Danio rerio: one gene and its partners. The protein of the gene in region 3 interacts with the protein of the main gene of each other region in a pairwise test. Links are inferred from orthologs where the notes say so. Each region holds a gene or a part of one and is shown on either strand. Other genes may lie near its edges.

The links.
Region 1: the proteins of lmo4b (region 3) and nfyc interact in binary tests that used the Homo sapiens proteins (3 or more experiments, as listed by UniProt). The link is inferred for Danio rerio from reciprocal best matches to the Homo sapiens genes LMO4 and NFYC.
Region 2: the proteins of lmo4b (region 3) and itsn1 interact in binary tests that used the Homo sapiens proteins (3 or more experiments, as listed by UniProt). The link is inferred for Danio rerio from reciprocal best matches to the Homo sapiens genes LMO4 and ITSN1.

The regions. Positions count from the first base shown.
Region 1 is NC_133194.1:44,910,832-44,917,104, forward strand, and holds part of nfyc (nuclear transcription factor Y subunit gamma), read left to right. Parts: intron 1-2,754; coding exon 2,755-2,916; intron 2,917-3,090; coding exon 3,091-3,198; intron 3,199-3,407; coding exon 3,408-3,467; intron 3,468-5,461; coding exon 5,462-5,584; 3' UTR 5,585-6,273. UniProt on the Homo sapiens protein: Component of the sequence-specific heterotrimeric transcription factor (NF-Y) which specifically recognizes a 5'-CCAAT-3' box motif found in the promoters of its target genes.
Region 2 is NC_133176.1:50,353,900-50,360,172, forward strand, and holds part of itsn1 (intersectin-1), read right to left. Parts: intron 4,975-6,273; coding exon 4,865-4,974; intron 2,486-4,864; coding exon 2,223-2,485; intron 643-2,222; coding exon 493-642; intron 1-492. UniProt on the Homo sapiens protein: Adapter protein that provides a link between the endocytic membrane traffic and the actin assembly machinery. Acts as a guanine nucleotide exchange factor (GEF) for CDC42, and thereby stimulates actin nucleation mediated by WASL and the ARP2/3 complex.
Region 3 is NC_133181.1:28,416,023-28,422,295, reverse strand, and holds part of lmo4b (LIM domain transcription factor LMO4b), read left to right. Parts: intron 1-4,152; coding exon 4,153-4,249; intron 4,250-4,583; coding exon 4,584-4,739; intron 4,740-6,273. UniProt on the Homo sapiens protein: Transcription cofactor. Plays a role in establishing motor neuron identity, in concert with MNX1, acting, at least in part, to disrupt LDB1-LHX3 complexes thereby negatively modulating interneuron genes in motor neurons.

The DNA.
Region 1 (6,273 bases), on a different chromosome or scaffold from region 3:
CTTCTGACAGAGTGCATCTTAGAATACATGACCGACACTCCTCATAGAGCTCGAGAAGCAGACATTCTTTATGATGTATTTCGTTTTTAAAATAAAGGCTTGCAGGTTAAGGAAACAGCATAGGAGGAAGTTGCTGCGTCTTTGGTGCAGATGAAAAGTAAAAAAAGTATATTTATATGGACAGATAGGCAACTAGATAGAAGAGACGGGATTATATTCATTTGTGCAACAGTTGACGATCCGCTCCTCGCTGCAGACGCAAAAGGCAAACGCCTGCTCCATGCTGCTTCTGCTCTCCATATCCTCACGTCGGGTGAGAAACAGGCGTGACTCCCGACTATATTGACAAATACACACCAATGTTGCACGCTTGGTGTCCAAAATGGAAGTCTGTGGTTGGGTCAGCCCAATAAAATACTAAAATAATAATAATAATTTTAAGGTCAATATTATTAGCCCCCATATATATATATATATATATATATATATATATATATATATATATATATATATATATATATATATATATATATATTTTTTTTTTTTTTTATAGTCTACAGAAAAAAACACTAATACAATTACTTGCCTAATTAACCTAGTTAAGCCTTTAAATGTCACTTTAAGCTGAAAATTAGCATCTTTAAAAATATCTAGTAAAATATTGTGTTGTCATCATGTCAGATAAAAGAAATCATTTATTAGAAATGAGTTATACAAACTTTATTAGAAATATGATAAGTACAAGTGTAAAATAAATACAGGGGGCCTAATAATTCTGACTTCAACTGTATATCTGATAAAATAAATGATCCAAGCATGGAATTAAAGGCTGAATTCTCCTAAACAGCAGATATTATTGACCAGGGCAGAATCTGCAATTCATATGTCCTCAACCTGATGTTACATGAGGTCACGGTACGTCTCGGGCCAGATAAAGTTGTGCTGCTTAATAAATTGTCCCGTGCTCTCGGGTGTCAGTTCCTGAAGAGGAGAGATCGTCTGTCGCACCTCCGCAGTCCAGGTTTCTCCGCTCCACACGAGAAGCCCGGGGTCACAGTCTCGCATCTCTCCTCTTTCCTCAACACTTCTTCAGTTTCACTTTCTTTTGGAGAGCTTCCCATATTCACAGGAGAGTGTTGAGCTGCGGTTCTAATGCTAGACTCTCTGGTTCAGCTTAAACCTTTATGGGATCCTTAATGCAATGTTCATTTGGGAAAGTCCTTGTGTTGTTGGGGGTCATTACAAGGCTTTTGTGGCTGAAAAGAAAAACATATTGTAATCAATGTCCATGAAGTGACTATACAGTTGAGGTCAGATTTATTGGGGCTTATTATTTTGAATTTCCTTTGAATTTCTTTTTCTTTTTTAAAATATTTTTTCCAAATAATGTTTAACAGAGCAAGAAAATTTTCACAGCATGATGATAAATATTAATTATTCATTAATTGTTAAACGGGGGCTAATAATTTAGGGGGAGGGGGAGTAATAATTTTGACTTCAACTGTACATAGTTCTTCAATTTCTAACTGCATTTTTTCATCTGTTGAAGTAAAGCAGATGTGTCCTGTAACTTGATGCTGGTTGGTTTAGTCTGGTTAAATGGAAATGTCAATAGAATGATTTAATGCCTTTTCTCTTTCTCATCTTTTTCCTTTTCATCTTATTTTTTCTTCTTTTTCTTAAATTTCTTATGATTATTCTTTAAAAAAAATTGTTTTCTTGTTATTTTTCTTTGATTTTCTTTTTCTTTTTTTCTTTTTACTTTGTTCTTTTGCTTTTTTCTTTCTTTCCTTTTTTCTTTCTTTTCTTCTTTTGCTTTCTTCTTTCTTTCCTCTTTTATAATTTTAAGCTTTTTTCTTTATCCTTTTTTTCTTTCTCTCCACCCTTTAATTTCCTTTTTCTTTTGCTTTTTATTTCGTCTTTCTTTTTTGCTTCTTTCTTTTCTAATTTTTCTTTCTTTTTGCTTCTTTTTCTTTCTTTTCTGCTTTTTTGCTTTTTTCTGCATATTTTGCCTTTTACTCCTTTCTTTTCTTCTTTCCTTTTTCTTTTTTCCTTCCGTCTTCTTTTCTTTTTCTTTCTTTCCTCCTTTTTTTTCTTCTTTCTTTTTTCCTTCTTTTGCTTTTTCTTTTCTTCTTTCTTTCCTCCTTTTTTCTTTTTCTTCTTTCTTTTTTTTCTTCCTTCCTTCGCTTTTCTTTTCTCATTTTTCTTTTTTTTCTGTTCTTCCTTTTCTTTCTTTTCTTCTTTTGTCATTCTTCTTTTTTCTTTTTTTAATCTTCTCTTGCGTTCTTTTCTTTCTTTTGCTTTTTCTTCACCTTCAAATGTTTTCTTGATTTACTGGATTTATAACGTATGGATGTAACTTATTTCATAGAGATCTTATAATTAAATACATTATACCTAATTACAATACATCATACTCTATTACAAATGTTCTCTTAAATTTCCATTTCTCTGTGTGGACGCGTGTCAACATTTGAAGTCGATCAAAAGGTTTGAACTACTGAACAACGTCCATTCTTGTCTAAAGACAACTTTTTTTGATCAAATGTTGACAACTGCGTAAATGCATAAATGTCTACACGGGTACTATTTTTGTAATGCAAGTATATTACACAATATAACTGTTGAAAATGCACACATTTCTGGAAATATATCCTCATCTTACAACTCTCATAGCAGTTGTAAATTGACTGTAAAACATGAATTGTTGGGAGCTGCAGTTCAGCCCTCATGCTTTCATCCTTCTACTTTCAGAGTGCTCCGGTGACCATGCAGGTGGGCGAGGGTCAGCAGGTGCAGATCGTCCAGGCTGCTGCACAGGGACAGGCCCAGGCACAGACAGCACAGCCAGCCGGACAGACCATGCAGGTCATGCAGCAGATCATCACCAACACAGGAGAGATCCAGCAGATTCCAGTAAGAGGATGTCACGTTTACCTTTTTGTTTCATGATTGTGGTCTCTTTAAATGAGCTCTAGGCTAATTATGGGTACAGTAGCATATGTGGTGTTCATGAAGACCAGACTGATTTGCTGTTAGATGGAGGTGATGTTGTGTTCATCTGCGCCCTCTTGTGGTGGTGTTCTGCAGGTGCAGCTCAACACTGGCCAGCTGCAGTACATTCGCCTGGCTCAGCCCGTCTCAGGAACACAGGTGGTTCAAGGACAGATACAGACACTCGCAGCAAACACTCAGCAGGTAAATCATGAATACACACACAAACTGATTTCCAGATGAGATTTTACTGTGATATTTTTTACTGACACATTATTTTTGGTCACACTAATAATACGTGATTCTCCTTTTGAGAAATTGAGGATTTTCTTATGATACATACCTTTTTATAATTTTGATTAGTGTAATTAATAATGGCTGTTATTTTTTGATGATTGTTTTTTTTTTTTTAGCTTTCACAAACAGAAGTACAACAGGGTCAGCAACAGTTCAACCAGTTTACTGACGGGCAGGTGAGGACTTTTCTTCTTTATTTAATTTATCCATTGGGCAAAACATGTTAGCCCTCCTTGTGCTGCCAAAACAGCGCCAACTTACCGAGGCATGGACTCGGGGGTCTGCAACATATTTTGTAGTATGGACCAGTGTTCGTATTAACAATTTTTAATGTATTTTAGTTATTATGTACATAATTACATCTATATCACAAATTCATACAACAACAAACTAATACATCTCACTATAATAGAGAGAGTAGAGAGAGAGATGTTTGTTTCCCACTCATGCTGTAGTAACTGTATCTTATAAAGATTGGCGTCACACCCTTTGCATTGTAAATATGTTGGTAAGCAACGCAAACAGATGCCAATAATGGCGTTGTTTGTACCTTCATAAAAAAAGCTTTAAATTTCTAGTAGGGGAGCTGTGCACCGCGTCTGGTCTGCTATGTACACAGATATGGATATTGATTGTTGAAAGGAAGACTCAAAATAAAGTGGGATCTCGGAAAGAATTTTTTGCAAGAATACAAATTTACACTTTCACTGCATGAGACACGAGGAACAGATGCTTTGTCAAGTTGTGAATTTATTTTTTATTTTTTTATTTTTTTAATTAGACAATTTCTAATCTTTAGTATTTTCATTTTTTAAAATGTTTTACTTACAGTTTCATTTCACTGTTGTTTATATACTATGAAGACATTAAGGCGTTAATCTGGGGTCATTTTTGGATTTTATTTTGGGCCGGTCCTGCTTTATATTAAGTGGTCGTAACTACTTGGTACTTGCATGTACTTATTTTATTCATATTGTTTTGCACAACACTTATGGAGCTACTGATATTTTTTCAAGACACATTTATACAGCTTAAAGTGACATTTAAAGGCTTAACTAGGTTAACTAGCTTAATTAGGCAGGTTAGGGTAATTAGGCAAGTTATTGTATAATGATGATTTGTTCTGTAGACTATCGGAAAAAATATATAGCTTAAAGGGGCTAATGATTCTGACCTTAAAATGTTGTTTAAACAATTCAAAACTGCTTTTATTTTAGCTGAAATAAAACAAATAAGACTTTCTCCAGAAGAAAAAATATTATCAGACATACTGTGAAAATTTCCTTGCTCTGTTAAATATCATTTAGGAAATATTAAAAAAAAAAAATTTTAAAGGAGGCTACAAATTCTGACTTCAGCTGTGTGTATGTATATATATGTGTATATATATATATATATATATATATATATATATATATATATATATATATATATATATATATATATATATATATTAGAGGTGTGAACCTATACTGGTCTCACGGTTCGGTTCGGTTACGATTATCCTGCCTTCGGTTCAATTCGATATTTCGGTGCATCACGGTGCATTGACGATGCTTTCCATATACAGTGTTATATTTTAGAGGGGAGGCTATAACAAGCTGTCTGTATAGACACACAGCACCACACTGTCTCTCATTCAAACACAAACATAGACGGCACCAAAGAAACAAACACACACACACGCACACACACACACTCAAGCCCTCGCAACTGGAAGAGCTCGCCAAGAGCGGAGCAGAAAAACGAAAAAAATAAGCACTTTTCCGACGGTCCCTTACAGAGAGCTCCTCTCAGCGCGAGCTCTCCCGGCTAAAGTAAACGCAGACTGCGAGGGCTTAAACGGAGCAGTGCTCGTAATGCGGGCCTGGTTCAAGGCAACTGTACTTAGTCTGATTATGCCCTAAGAGTGTCCCGTAATTTCCAATCCCATTGTTGATAGTAATGGTCATGGTTAGTCATGTAACCTATTGCTTTAATGTCCTTAAATGAAACACTGACGCATATTTAAAAGCTATTTCCTTCATTTAACAGACATTTTCTGACTGCAACATTTCAGAAATATAATTTAGTGACATCTAAAAAAAAAAAAATGAATGTTGGGAATGTTGTCAGTAGTAGTCAGTCTCCATTAACACCCGATGCCTCTCCTGTCCCTGTGCCCCTGCAGCAGCTCTATCAGATCCAGCAGGTGACGATGCCGGCAGGACAGGAGCTGACCCAACCCATGTTCATCCAGTCCACCAATCAGACAGCTGACGGGCAGGTCACTACGCAGGTCAGCGCAGACTGAGCCCATCCATCATGAAGCCCCCCCGGCACTATCAAAACAGTGGAGGAGGAGACAAACAACACCCAAACCTTCCACTTCCCATCATCTCTTCATCAAGACGTCAATCCAGAAACCCAATAATAAACCTTAGATTCAAGCTTCCCATAATTTACCGTCCAAAAACAGTTTGGGTCTCTTCACTGAGTGATGGAAGGATCAATGTATAGCGGCAGAGGTTTGCTTTCTGCCATTGATTTCAGCTACGTGTCTTCTGCAATATGGAGTATGAACCACTGTCTTCCTCACAGTATAGGTTGATATGTCCTCGTTTCATAGTTGGGCTAGAGATTATGCTTCAGTGATAGTGATATTAGGGTAAAACCAGAGCTGAAGGGCACTTGGGCTTGTACAGTGGTCTTTATTTTTTAATTTCTTTTATTAAGCCCTCACCCAGATCATGCCATCTCATGATGTGTAGACTTCTAAACTCGATGATTAAAAGCCATAATCTACACATTCTGTATCTCTGTAGTTTGGTTCTGTGATTGATTAGTAATGGTAATAGTTCTGTTGTAGTATCTCTTGTATAGTTTTTGATAAGGTTGTGTTTGTTAAAGGGCTTCTTCTTGTTGGGTTTTCTACATGCAGAATGGTCCCCCCCCCCTCTCTCTCTCTCTCGGTGTGAATGTGTTTGAATGTGCTTTTTCCTT
Region 2 (6,273 bases), on a different chromosome or scaffold from region 3:
TATATATATATATATATATATATATATATATATATATATATATATATATATATATATATATATGGCACTTTAAATTTGTTCTACATACTGTAAAAATGCAATCAATTGGTGTTAAAACAACCTAAAATTTGTTCGTTTTTTTTTACTTTAAGTGAACTGAACAGAAAACAATTAAGTTGCTCCCCAAAAAACTTGAGAATTGTGTTATTTCAGATGATTTTAAGCATGTTATTTGATCAAGCAAAATTAATTGTTTATACCCTACGTATTTAAAAGTGTTAACCACCACTGTAAAAATGCAGGGTCAAAAACAAGTCATTCACGATGTCCCAACACAAATAAATTAAGTTCATTGGTTTTGACAAGTTTAAGTGGATAGAACATAAAAAAGTAAGTTGTCTCCAAAAAATATCTCAAGAATTGTGTTGTTTCGGCTCATTCTAAGTAAGTAGTTTAGACAATTATTTTTCTGAGAGATGAAAGTGCACATGCCAGAGCCTCCAGCTCAAACTCGAGAGTTTTCTTCCGTGCTTTGAGCAGGACGATGTTCTCCTGTTCTCTGTTCCTTTGGGTGAGCAGCTCCTGTCTGCGCGTCCTCTCCCACTCCAGCTGCCTCTGTCGCTCCAGCTCCCGTTTAGCAGCCTTCAAACACACAAAATCATTTATTTATTTATTGCCACATAAGCAACTTATGGCTATTTCATGGCAAGATCAATTTGCATAAAAACACTACATGATAGAACAACTTCATAATTCATTAAGAGATGGCTCACATTAATACAAAGTCAAACATGATTTTTCTCAATTTAATATTTGATAAATAACTTCAAATTCATCCTGGTGATTCCTTTTAAAAACATAAAATAAAGTGTTTTTGTCTAACAGTACTTAAATGTCCACATTCAAATAAAATATGCATCATGGTGAGAGCACACACAAAATAACACAAGGGTTAATGATAGTGTCAATAGTGCTGAACACTCTGGCTTCAAGGCACTGGGAAAATGTGCGACTATGTTGTTGAATATTGCATGATATAATAGCATTTTTTTTTTTTTTTTTTAATAGTAATTTTTTCGGGGTTTTCACCTTTATTGGATAGGAAAGTAGAGAGAATTGACAGGAAAGCAATGGGAAGCAGAGAGAGAGGGGAAATATCGGCATAGGACTGCGAGGCGGAATCGAACTCGGGTCGCCGCGAGTGCATGTGCCGTTGTACTAACCACTACACCACTGGCGCCAACATAATAGTATTTCTTACAATATAAAAACAATATTAAATGATATTTCCCTAAAAAACTTATTTTACAATAAAATCAAAAAACATTTTAAGGTCAATATTATTAGTCCTCTTAAGCAGATGAATTTTTCGATAGTCTACAGAACAAACCATCATTATACAATACCTTGCCTAATTAACCTAATTAAGTCTTCAAATTGCACTTTGAGCTGAACAATAGTCAATAGTATCTTAAAAATATCTAGTAAAATAGCACATATTGTCATCATGGCAAAGATAAAAGAAATCGGTTATTAGAAATGAGTTATTAAAACTATTATGCTCAGAAGTGTGTTGAAAAAACTCAGTTGAAAATAAATTGGGTAAAAATTTAAAAGTAATTTTAAAGGGATAATAATTCTGACTTTAACTGTAGCTAAAATCAACCAATGTATTAAATAAAATGTAATTCAACTACACACAACAGCGATACAATCATTGCATATGCTATTATCGCGATAACCATACTTATCACAATATATTGTTCAGCACTACTTATCACTAGGCCCACACGGAATCTGTGAGCGCAGAAATCCACGGATTTTTGTCCCATCACTGAGTCTATTTATTTACTTGTGTAAATTTATATTTATTCAGTTTTTAAACTATTTTCAGTAATATTATTGACTGATATGAAAATGTTCATTTGATTTATTTACAATACAGTTTGTAAAGTAATATTTTCTGTCGTTTAGTCGATTTATTATATGAAAGATTTGCTTTGTTTGAGTGGATCTAATTCGATTTGCATTGTAAAAACATTAAATAAAAGTTATTAATTTTTATTTCATATATTAAGTTTTTAGTTATGATACTCCCACAACATTTCCGCATAAATCCACAGATTTTTAACAAAATTCTCAGCAGAAATAGCAACAAATGTCAGCAGATTCTGTCAGGCCCTACTTTTCACTCATGGATTTCCGAGAACTTGAGAACGCACCTCTCTTCTCTCGATCTCCTTGCGTCTCTCCTCCTCCCGCTGTCGCTCCAGCTCCCTCTGTCTCTCCAGCTGTTTGTCCAGCTCCTGCTGTCTGCGTCTCTCCTGCTCCAGTCGTTCCCTCTCCTTCCGCTCCTGCTCTTCTTTCTCCAGCGCCGCCAGTCGCTCCTGCTCTTTCCTCTGCTGCTCCAGAAGTGCCTGTCGACGTTTCTCCAACTCCAGGTTTCCGCGCTCAAAGTTCTCTCGTTTCTTATCCTCAAATGTGACTGAAGGGAAATTATGGAAACAATTTTAGGAGATTGATGTACAACATTTCATGCTGCAAAAGACCATTTAATTAGCATTTAGCCCCTTTAAATTATGCATGCATATTTGTGAAAACAATAACAGGTATCAGTGTGCATGTACAGTGCAAGTCAGAATTATTCGCCCACCTGTGAATTTTTTTTTCTTTTTTTAATATATAAATTTTTGACATTTTCACAGTATTTCCTATATTTTTTTCTACTGGAAAAAGTCTTATGTTTTGGGTGGAATAAAAGCAGTTTTTAATATTATTAGCCCCGTTAAGCAATTTATATTTTTTCAAATGTCTACAGAACAAATCATCGTTATACAAATGACTTGCCCAATTACTCTAACTTGCCTAATAACTAGTTAAAGGTGCAGCAGGTGATTGTCTCTAGAAACACTTTTTGCTGTGCTGGTTGAAAGTCTCTACACATCCCAATAGTATTGATTAAAGTAAATGATCTAAATGTATTTATACATATTTTTATACTCTGAATAAGATATAAAACTAAAAAATGAATATCCAATTAAATAGAGTCGGGCTGGCATCTCCCATAATTCCGATAAGTAGCCCAAACTGTCAGCAAATGCAGATTTGAACAACTGCTCCGCCGTTTGTACGCAGCTCCGCTGTTTGTGCATTCCGCGTTCATGAGAGAGAGAGAGAGAGAGAGAGAGAGAAAGAGACACACACACACACCTAGGTGATTTTAAATGAATCATTGTAAATATACTGATTATTATTGTTTTTATTACTGTTTTATCCTAAAATGTTGATTGTTAAATGTACAGTTTATTCTGATCTATTTTTGTATTGATTTGTATAATATGATATGTTGAATAATAATATAATATATTGAATATTAATGTGATATATTGAATAATATGATGTATTGTTGATATTTTATTTAATTATTATATATAAATATATTTTTTTACTACTACTATTTACTGTGTGTACTGTATATATATATATATATATATATATATATATATATATATATATATATATATATATATATATATATATATATATATATATATGTTACTTTTTATGTAAACTTTATAACTGCTTTGGCAATACATTTGTAACATTTGTCATGCCAATAAAGCAATTATTAAATTGAATTGAATTGAATTGAGAGAGAGAGAGAGAGAGAGAGAGAGGGAGAGAGAGACTGTAAAAACATGCTGAATCAAAACTTTATAAAAACCTGAATCAATATTGGAGTTAGCGTTTCACACTGGAGAAAGGATGACACCATGGCTAAAGTATTTCTCTAAGACAGGTAATGTTCTGTTTAAAAACTATTTTAGCTTCACGCAAAGCTGATGTAACGTTTGATGTTGTTGTTACAAATGGGTTATATCCGCACAGAAGTCTTGTTCAGCCACTAAAATCTTCCGATGAAAGATTGATGTGACTATTTTCAGTTTCATAAGGTCTTTTTACATCATCTATAATGTAGATTTTATTTAGATTAACAACAAAACACAAGTAAATAGCGCTATTCCGCCTAGCCAGCTTTACTGAGGTGAAGATGGTTTTATATTCACATCCCAGTGGTTCATTTTTAAACAATGACAACCTGTGGTGCTGTCCTTCTATTGTTTACCATGCTACTCTGAATATCCGCTCTGAAATAGCATGTCAGTTTGGTTTAGTAATGAGTGTAATTCCTGCATGCCACCAGTCAAGCACTTGTCGCTTTTAACACATGAGAGAGGGTTCTTCTGCTGTCATCTTTAAGGTGCGCATGCTCGTGTTTCAGAAGGCGTGGCTCTGAATGACAGGGGAGGGACTGTGATTCAGAGATTTATGCTAAGCTGTTAGCATTGTGGAAGATCACCTACTGCACCTTTAAGCCTTTAAATTGTGCTTTAAACTGAATACTAGTATCTTGAAAAACATCTAGTAAAATAGTATGTACTGTCATCATAGCAAAGATCAGTCCATTGTTAGAAATGAGTTATTAAAACTATTATTTTAAGATCTTTTTGTGTGTGTAAGTTTGCAATTGTGTAATTGTGCAAGTGTATTGTGTACTATGATAATGTTGTTTAAGTACTGCAGGTAAATGTAAACCAGGAACCTGATATTTTATCAGCCTAAATGACGAAAAACATTTTTAAAAGTAAGTTAATGGTGGAAAATGTACAGTTAACACAGCCTCTGTTGGCAGTGGATGTTCTCCATTTATATAGGTAACTGGTATCAGATCTCACAACACATTGCACTGAAAGGTATTAATGCAAAAATAATCAAGACTATCCATATAAAAAAATGTGCAAATTGAATTCTGGGGTATACTTGTCATCTGAGACCACATGAACTTTAACCAATGTTTCCTGACCTGGAAGTTTTTTCTCGGCCTCTTTCTCCTCCTCCTCTGGCTCTTCCTGAGACCGCAAGTCTGTCGAGTGCATGCTAGTCACAGACACTCCACTACCAGAGCGCATTCTCCTACGCACACACACAAAAAAAACATTAAGTGAATGGAAACATCAAGTGTCTCTAATTGCAAAAGAGTCATGTGGAAATAAAACGTATCAAACATTTGCAGACCATGACTTTGTCTTTCATGTGGCATGTATTGTAGCGGTTTTAAATTTGTTGTTAACATGATAAGGTCAAATTGCAAAAGTAAAGTGCAAGGTAGGGCGGTGACTTCTTATTCTAGAGAAGAGGCAAAAAGCACAACAGATGTCAAACTTTTAAGCTCAATATAGTTGCACAAATAAATTACACATCTGCTTGTTGTTGCTAATGGTAAATTAATTGCAAAAGGAAGCTTTAATGTGACCTACATGTTTGCTAATTTAGTTTTAAAGGTCTCCAACACCAGGTTTATATCCATCCAGAGTCAAAATGTTAATTTTATCATTGCATATGTGCAGAAATGCATGCATAGTATATGATGTATAGCTTTTTTTTTATTATTCACACACAATTTTTTAAGGGTTACAAAAAAAAGGTTTAAGGTTATTAACCTATATAATTAGCTTAAGCATATCATAATTATATAATATAGAAAAATGCAAGAGAAAAAAAAACCTTTACCTCAAGAACCTTGCTAGCTGTCATTAAAAGATCAAATTTAACAAGATTGTATTCAATACTTTTATAATAATAATAATAATAATAATAATAATAATAATAATAATGATAATATCAATTAAACCATTTATAAAATTACAGTGAAAGTAAACTCATAATGATTGTTAAAAGGGGACCTTTTTCAAGGTGATTTATTTCCCCATTATTTTTATACGGTTTATTTCAACATGTACATACATATAGAGGTTCATTCATTTTATATTAATTACTCATGCTAGGCCAGTGGCTTACATTTTATTGCATTTATTTGCGTCAGCCGGCTGCATCTGGATTATTCGCTGCATTGAGCGAGTTTTTTTCTTTGGGTCATGTAATTTATCCAGAAACAGCAATGTTGAACTCCAACATTAGATCGTTAACAGTTCCTTTCATATTCGTGTCTTGTCTATTAATTGTCTATTACTTCTCATCGTGAGAAACACCAGGTGTGGAGCGCAGGTTAAAATGCTTGTGTCTCATGACGAATGAGACACAAGCTGAGAGCCCTTAATTATGCCTTTTTAGGCGGGTGTGTTTGTGCGTCGGTGTACTTTTCCATTTCACAGAGTGCAACTTTCCTCAGAGTTTTCGCAAGATCTTGCTTGTGAGTGTTTTTTATGGCAAATGCAGCGGGAACTACGGGAACCCAGAGGAGAGTGTTGCATG
Region 3 (6,273 bases):
GGGCCTCCCTTATTTTTGTAATGGATTATTAAATTGCCCTTGCTGTGTAAATAATGAAGTTACATATCCAGAATTATATTAATACCACTGATGCAAAAAGGCTTAGTGATTGATTGGGACAGCGCAGACGAAAGCGCATCCCATTTTCCCTAATGGCAGATGGGAGGAAAATGACATGGGATGATAGGCTTCTGATACCACTCAGCTCGAGGCCACCAGCACCGACTACCAGGGCAACAGCCGCGAGTTGTAGATTTCAGCAGTTTTAGCCTCATCGAATCATGTCGTTTCTAAAGCCATCCCCGATGTTTTGTCTGAGCTGTTGAGAAGCAAGGGAGAGCGAGAGAATTAATTTGGGGAGAGAGCAATCATGTGACCGTTAGGTCGTAGGGAAAAACACTGTCCTTTTAATTGAATAGAGCCAGGTAATTAAATGGCACTTTTCCAATAGAACGTGCTAGGTAAATCTAATAGTTGGTTATTTAATATCACTTTGAAGTCTGCCCACTCAAGCACTATGACAGCACGGGAGCATGTGAACTATTAAGCCAGGAAATACTTGGATCTCAGAAATTAATTAAATTGCATGCAATTTAGGGGAAACGTTTATCTTGATTTGTCATAACAGAATTAATTCAAGGCCTTCAATCCACTTGGGACTAGATCTGTTACTCTGAATTAACCGAGTGTCATTTGGCTGCTTTCAGCCCCCTTCACCCGCCTGCACGCTCTTTTTGCCTGAAATCTCCCCCTACCCACCCCATCCCTTCCACCCCACCCTCTCTCTCTCTCTCTCTTTTTCGCTCCCTCCCTCTCTCTCTACCTAATGTAACACTGCCATTATGCAAAGCCCTGCTTAAGTATCAATATGGCCCAGTGCTTTTAAGGTGCTTTGCCTGCTAATGTTGAGAGGCATTTTTATAATGGACTGTGTTGCAGAAATCATTGTTGTACCAACTTGCATCACTCCACTCAAAAGGTTCCGCTTAAAAGGCAGAGCTTCTGCCAGATGGCCCAAAACAGCCCTGCTAGGTTGTATTTTACTTCACAGTCGGTATCCAAATTAAATCCTCTAGACATTGCCTATGGAGCGCAGACAGATTTCTTGTCTTGCTTTCGTAATGAAAGACAGCCGTAGATTGTAGCCCTTCTTTATTCCACCCTTTTCGAGGCCGAGCAAGTCGATAAATCAGCATTCCGCGATGTTTCGCTGACAAAATCCTCCTCCTCTGATTGATCAAGAGGCTGAATACCTAGAAAGTGGGAAAAGCAACAAAGGGAAAGGCTGATTTGAGGAGAAGGAAGCCAAATCTGGTGGTGTCATTGCAATTAAAGAGTCCCTTGGCCTTAATTATGGTGACCCGTGATATTGCTGCTCTACGCTTCCCTCGTCAGCACAGGAGTTCAATGGTGAGAGAGACCATTAGAGGTGAGGAGCAGACTGATAGCAACTTAATTGAGCACCTAAAACCTTCAGGCCTTTAAATCAAATGCTATCAGCAGCCTTTCCCCGCTCAAATAATTAACCTGCTATGCTACGTATACAGAGCTGCAGGAGCATAAAAAGGTTGCCTTGGAGAATCTTCAGGCTTTTTCTCTGGAAGACAACTGGTGCAATTAAAAGGGGAGCCCGGATCCCAAATAATGCATACTTGTAAGCGAATTTAGGTGTGAGCGCTCGGGGATTGTCGAATCAAGCGTACGTCGTGGCTCGGCTGATTGCTTTCTCAAGGCCAGGGGAAGATGTCATTTTACAGGTGAATCAAACTGCAGCTTTTAAAGACCTTCCCCCCTGACATTTGCCTAGCATGACTGGCCCATCGACGCCATTGAAGCCGCGCTGTTGTCACAAGCCTACAGCTAATTACGTTTGAAATTGAGTTTTGATTGAGCTGCTCCAATCGATGCCACAGCCAAATTTGTTTTTCCCTCCCCCCTTCACCCTACAGCCACCGCTGAAGAGAAACTCTTAAAGCTTCACTTGCTCGTTGTGTAGCGGCCCCAATAAACACCACACGTGTATGCAAAACATCGCAGGTGACAGCTGTTTCAGTGTCGGAACGCACATGTTCTCATGTGTGGCAGATGTAGTATCAGAGTCTACACAATGCACGTTTACCGGTTTACCAGTTGGAAGCATTTTGAGGGACCAAATCATCCTTGAACTTTTAGGTTAATCTGTAACTGTTTACATACGGAAGGTACTTGCAATGCTTCCCTTTTCCCTCTATCCTTTTTGTGTCTTTTCCCCATTACCCTCCCTCTTTCCTTTTAACAGTCTTTTTCTTTCTTTCTTGCTTCCTTCCTCATATTTCCCTCCCTCTCTCTCTCTCTCTCTCCCTCTCTCTCTCTCCCTCTCTCTCTCTCTCTCTCTCCCTCTCTCTCTTTCTCTCTCTCTCTCTCTGGAGCTTGTCAGATGCTGTGGTCTTATTTGATTGCATAGGAAAAGTGCAGTGATAGAGCAAACAGCCAGTGAGATATGATGACAAATGGGTCCAGATCCCAGTAAATTACTTTCTGCTCAAATCGAAATTTCATTCAGTTTGTTGCTCGGCAAGATGAAGTAATCTAAATTGTGGACTCAGAAGGCAGATAGAAAGGAAGCAGGAGCAAGCATTTCATTATCAAGAGACTGAGTGAGAGAGAGAGAGAGAGAGAGGGAAGGTTAGAGACGAAAGAGATGAGCAGAAGCAAATCTAAAGTGTTGACACCATGATTGAAAAGGTTAACCCATGCACATTATATATCAACCCGGGTAGCCGAGGGTTTCTAATGGAAAGGCGGCAGTGACTGAGCACTCGCTTGAGTCCTAATGGCAAAAGCGCTGTGTCTCCGCCTAGATGTACAATCAAATATTCTTAGGCCCTGATTGCTTATGTTCTAGGTTATTATTAGGTTGCAAAAAATGAGCACCAAAGGTAATACTTAGTCCCAGTGGTAGAGGCTTTTGGAGGACAGGATGCAGGATTTTTTCATTTGGTTTGCGATATTACTATGATTTTATTTTTTCTACATCAGAATATTGAAGATGTAATTTGTTCTGCTTGTGTGTGTGTGTGTCTGAGAGAGAGAGAGAGACTGAGAGAGATTGAGAGAGGGTGAGGAGGAGGCCCTGGAACAAGATTGAAATGATTTAACCTGTACTTGCTCAAGGATTTCATTGTTACAGTAAAACAAGGCCAAACAGGTTAATAAACCTTGCTGATGCACATGGAAGTATTCATTATATTAATGACTGCACTGTCCATATCCAGTGTTTTATTTTCAATCTCAGTCATCAGTAAATGAATGGTTTTGTCATTTAGTAAATTAATGGTTTTGTCATTTAGTCGACAATAGGATGTTATTATGCCATATGACTGACTTTCTAACATAGAAGCCAAAAAGAGATATTTTGATAAATGCTAATGCTGTTCTTTTCCATACAATGAAAGTAAATGGTGATCATAGCTTTTAAGCTCCAAAAAGACAAAAAAAAACAAAAAAAAAAACTGTCTGGATGCAATTTATATGCTTTTAATTGCATTTGTACAAGTAGTTGGTACTGTTATTCAGCAGATACACATTAACCTGACCAAAAACTAAATTCTTAAAAAAAAAAAAAAAAAAAAGTGTAACAATAGTTCTTAATGACCAACAAGGGAGTCTGTATGCAATATATACCCTACAAAAACATTTATCTTCGTGCTTGTAGTTGTTAATGTTTTTCAGAAGCCATGCATTAACTTCAATAAAAGTAAATTATTCTTAAAAACAAAAAAAGAAAATCATTCCTAGCTCAAACTTTTGAATGGTAGTGTAACAATAGTTCTTATTTAATACAGTAGGGTTGTTTAAAGAGCATCATCCAATTAGTTATTGATAAAATGTCACTGAATTGGAAAAAAAATACAAATAAATAAATTGTGGGGACAACTGCAATTGTTTACATGGGTTATATAAATTTATAAATGGACCATATTAATGAGTAAATATTGCTCATGATATGTTGGTGTGACATTATATTGATTGATTGAGATCTACCATATTTTGCTGGTCATTTAAATCATACTACAATTTCATAGATTTCAGCTATTTCGTCTAAGACATATTCGGTGCTCTGGATATATGTTGCTTTGGCACTACTAACATGTTTTCTATTTCTTTTCCCAGGTTATTTGGGAACAGTGGGGCATGCAGTGCGTGTGGTCAGTCCATCCCAGCCAGTGAACTGGTTATGAGGGCACAGGGAAACGTGTACCATCTCAAGGTAACCTTTTATCTAGAAGTGACCACTGCTGCTCTAAAATTAAATGCTCAATTGCATTACAAAATCCTTTCACACTCCACAGAGTTTTCTGATTGTTTGAAGGTGTTCTGTTGAATAGTTTTTCATAAGCTTATAATTGATATCAAATCAAATGCCTTTTATGTACATTTTAATCAATGTTTTCTGTGTCCCTCCACAAAAATAATTGCAAAATAATAAAAAACAAAAAGGAATAATAGCTTCACCTTTCAAGAAAATGTTCTGCAGGTTATGTGTAGGAAGTAATGTGCTAAGGATTGTGTGTAATGTAGTTCTTTTGTTTTGTTTCCTGCAGTGTTTCACATGTTCTACCTGCCGGAACCGGCTTGTCCCTGGTGACAGGTTTCACTACATCAACGGCAGCTTGTTTTGTGAACACGACAGACCCACAGCACTCATCAATGGCCATTTGAGTTCATTGCAGACTAACCCTCTACTGCCTGACCAGAAAGTAAGAGCCATAGTCGGTCATCTAATTGTTCTTATCACTTCACATATCAACATATCACTGCTGGATGGAAAACTTTAAATCTACTACTTGTTAGCTTGGCTTCACATATGGGCAAAAAAATTTTCTTGTGTGATAACAGTTCGCTTAAATCGAAGTTAAATGGAGCTTAAAGGTAAAATCTCATAAGGTTAATGAATGTAAAACAATTAAGGCAACCAGGTATTTTTTTACATTGTGGGAGTATCTTCAGTTAAACAAACAAACAAACAAACAAAACAAATCTATAAAGAAAAAACTGTATGTTGAGATGGCATTATTCACTACACAATTCTTCCAGAAAATATATTGCAGCAATATATTTATTATATATATATATATATATAACTTTGCAAGTGTGATTACGCGATTTAACATTTGACACCTAATCAAGCTTAAATGGAGTTTTTTTTTTATTTATTTACTTATTATTGTTATTATATTATTAGTTTTTTTTATACAAACGCTGGAGAGATGTGCTTTGTCAAACGTAAGACTGTCTTCATCTGAGGCAGTGCATTGCAGGTTATTCCTTTACTTTGTATTTAAGTGGGTGCTCGGTTTTTCTTGTTCTTAAAATATCTATAAGTTTATAAAATAAACTTATTTACGATAATATTGGTAGTGGCAAGCAGACAAATTATAAAATAAAATTTTCTATCTGTTTCAAAAACTGTTTTAATTTACTTTTGCACTGCATACAAGCAGTGATGTTCCAATTTATTTAAAAATGGAGACGGGTCAGAGATTTGAGGTTTTGCAGACAATTTGGTTTAGGTACAGCACTGATTTATAAGAAAACTGTTCTGACTGAAAAAAAATCCATCTTACACAGACATTATTTAGCCAATCATTTAATCAGAAATATTAGATCATACTAGAAGTTTTGCTTTATATTAGAAGTATTGTTTTTCTGTTTTATGTACATGTATAATATTAAAGAATATGCTATGTCTTTTAGAGGACGAGCGTAATTCAGCCTAGCTGAAAGCCAATTTATCACTATTAATGCTAACTTTCTCAAATGAGATCACAGCTAATGCAAGCCTTTTAGTTCTAGGATAGGTAAGCAAAGGGAAAACTATTTTCTCCTCCTCCTCCTAACCAAGATCCATTCATATGCAAAACCGATATATAATTCATATTTGTTACCGATTTCCATAACCAAATTACATCCCTTATATGTTCACTGAAGATGCAGCAAAAAGATGGTGTCTTTTTGTTCTTTGTTTTGGTTTTACAACAAGACTTCCATAACAATATGAAAGCTAGCTTGCATAAAGCATTCTGTCCCATTTTTCTGCCATGTTTTCACCGCCATAGTCCTGTCTGACTATTTGCTCCTCCGAGGCTGCACAGCAAGCTTTAAATAAACAAAACCAGACGCCAAGCAGGCAAATTATTTACCTAATTCCCCTTCTCGCCTTTGGGACCGTCTGCAATAAGACTTCATTGTGCAGTCAGCCACCAGCCGATTGTATCACTCGGCAGCACTGAA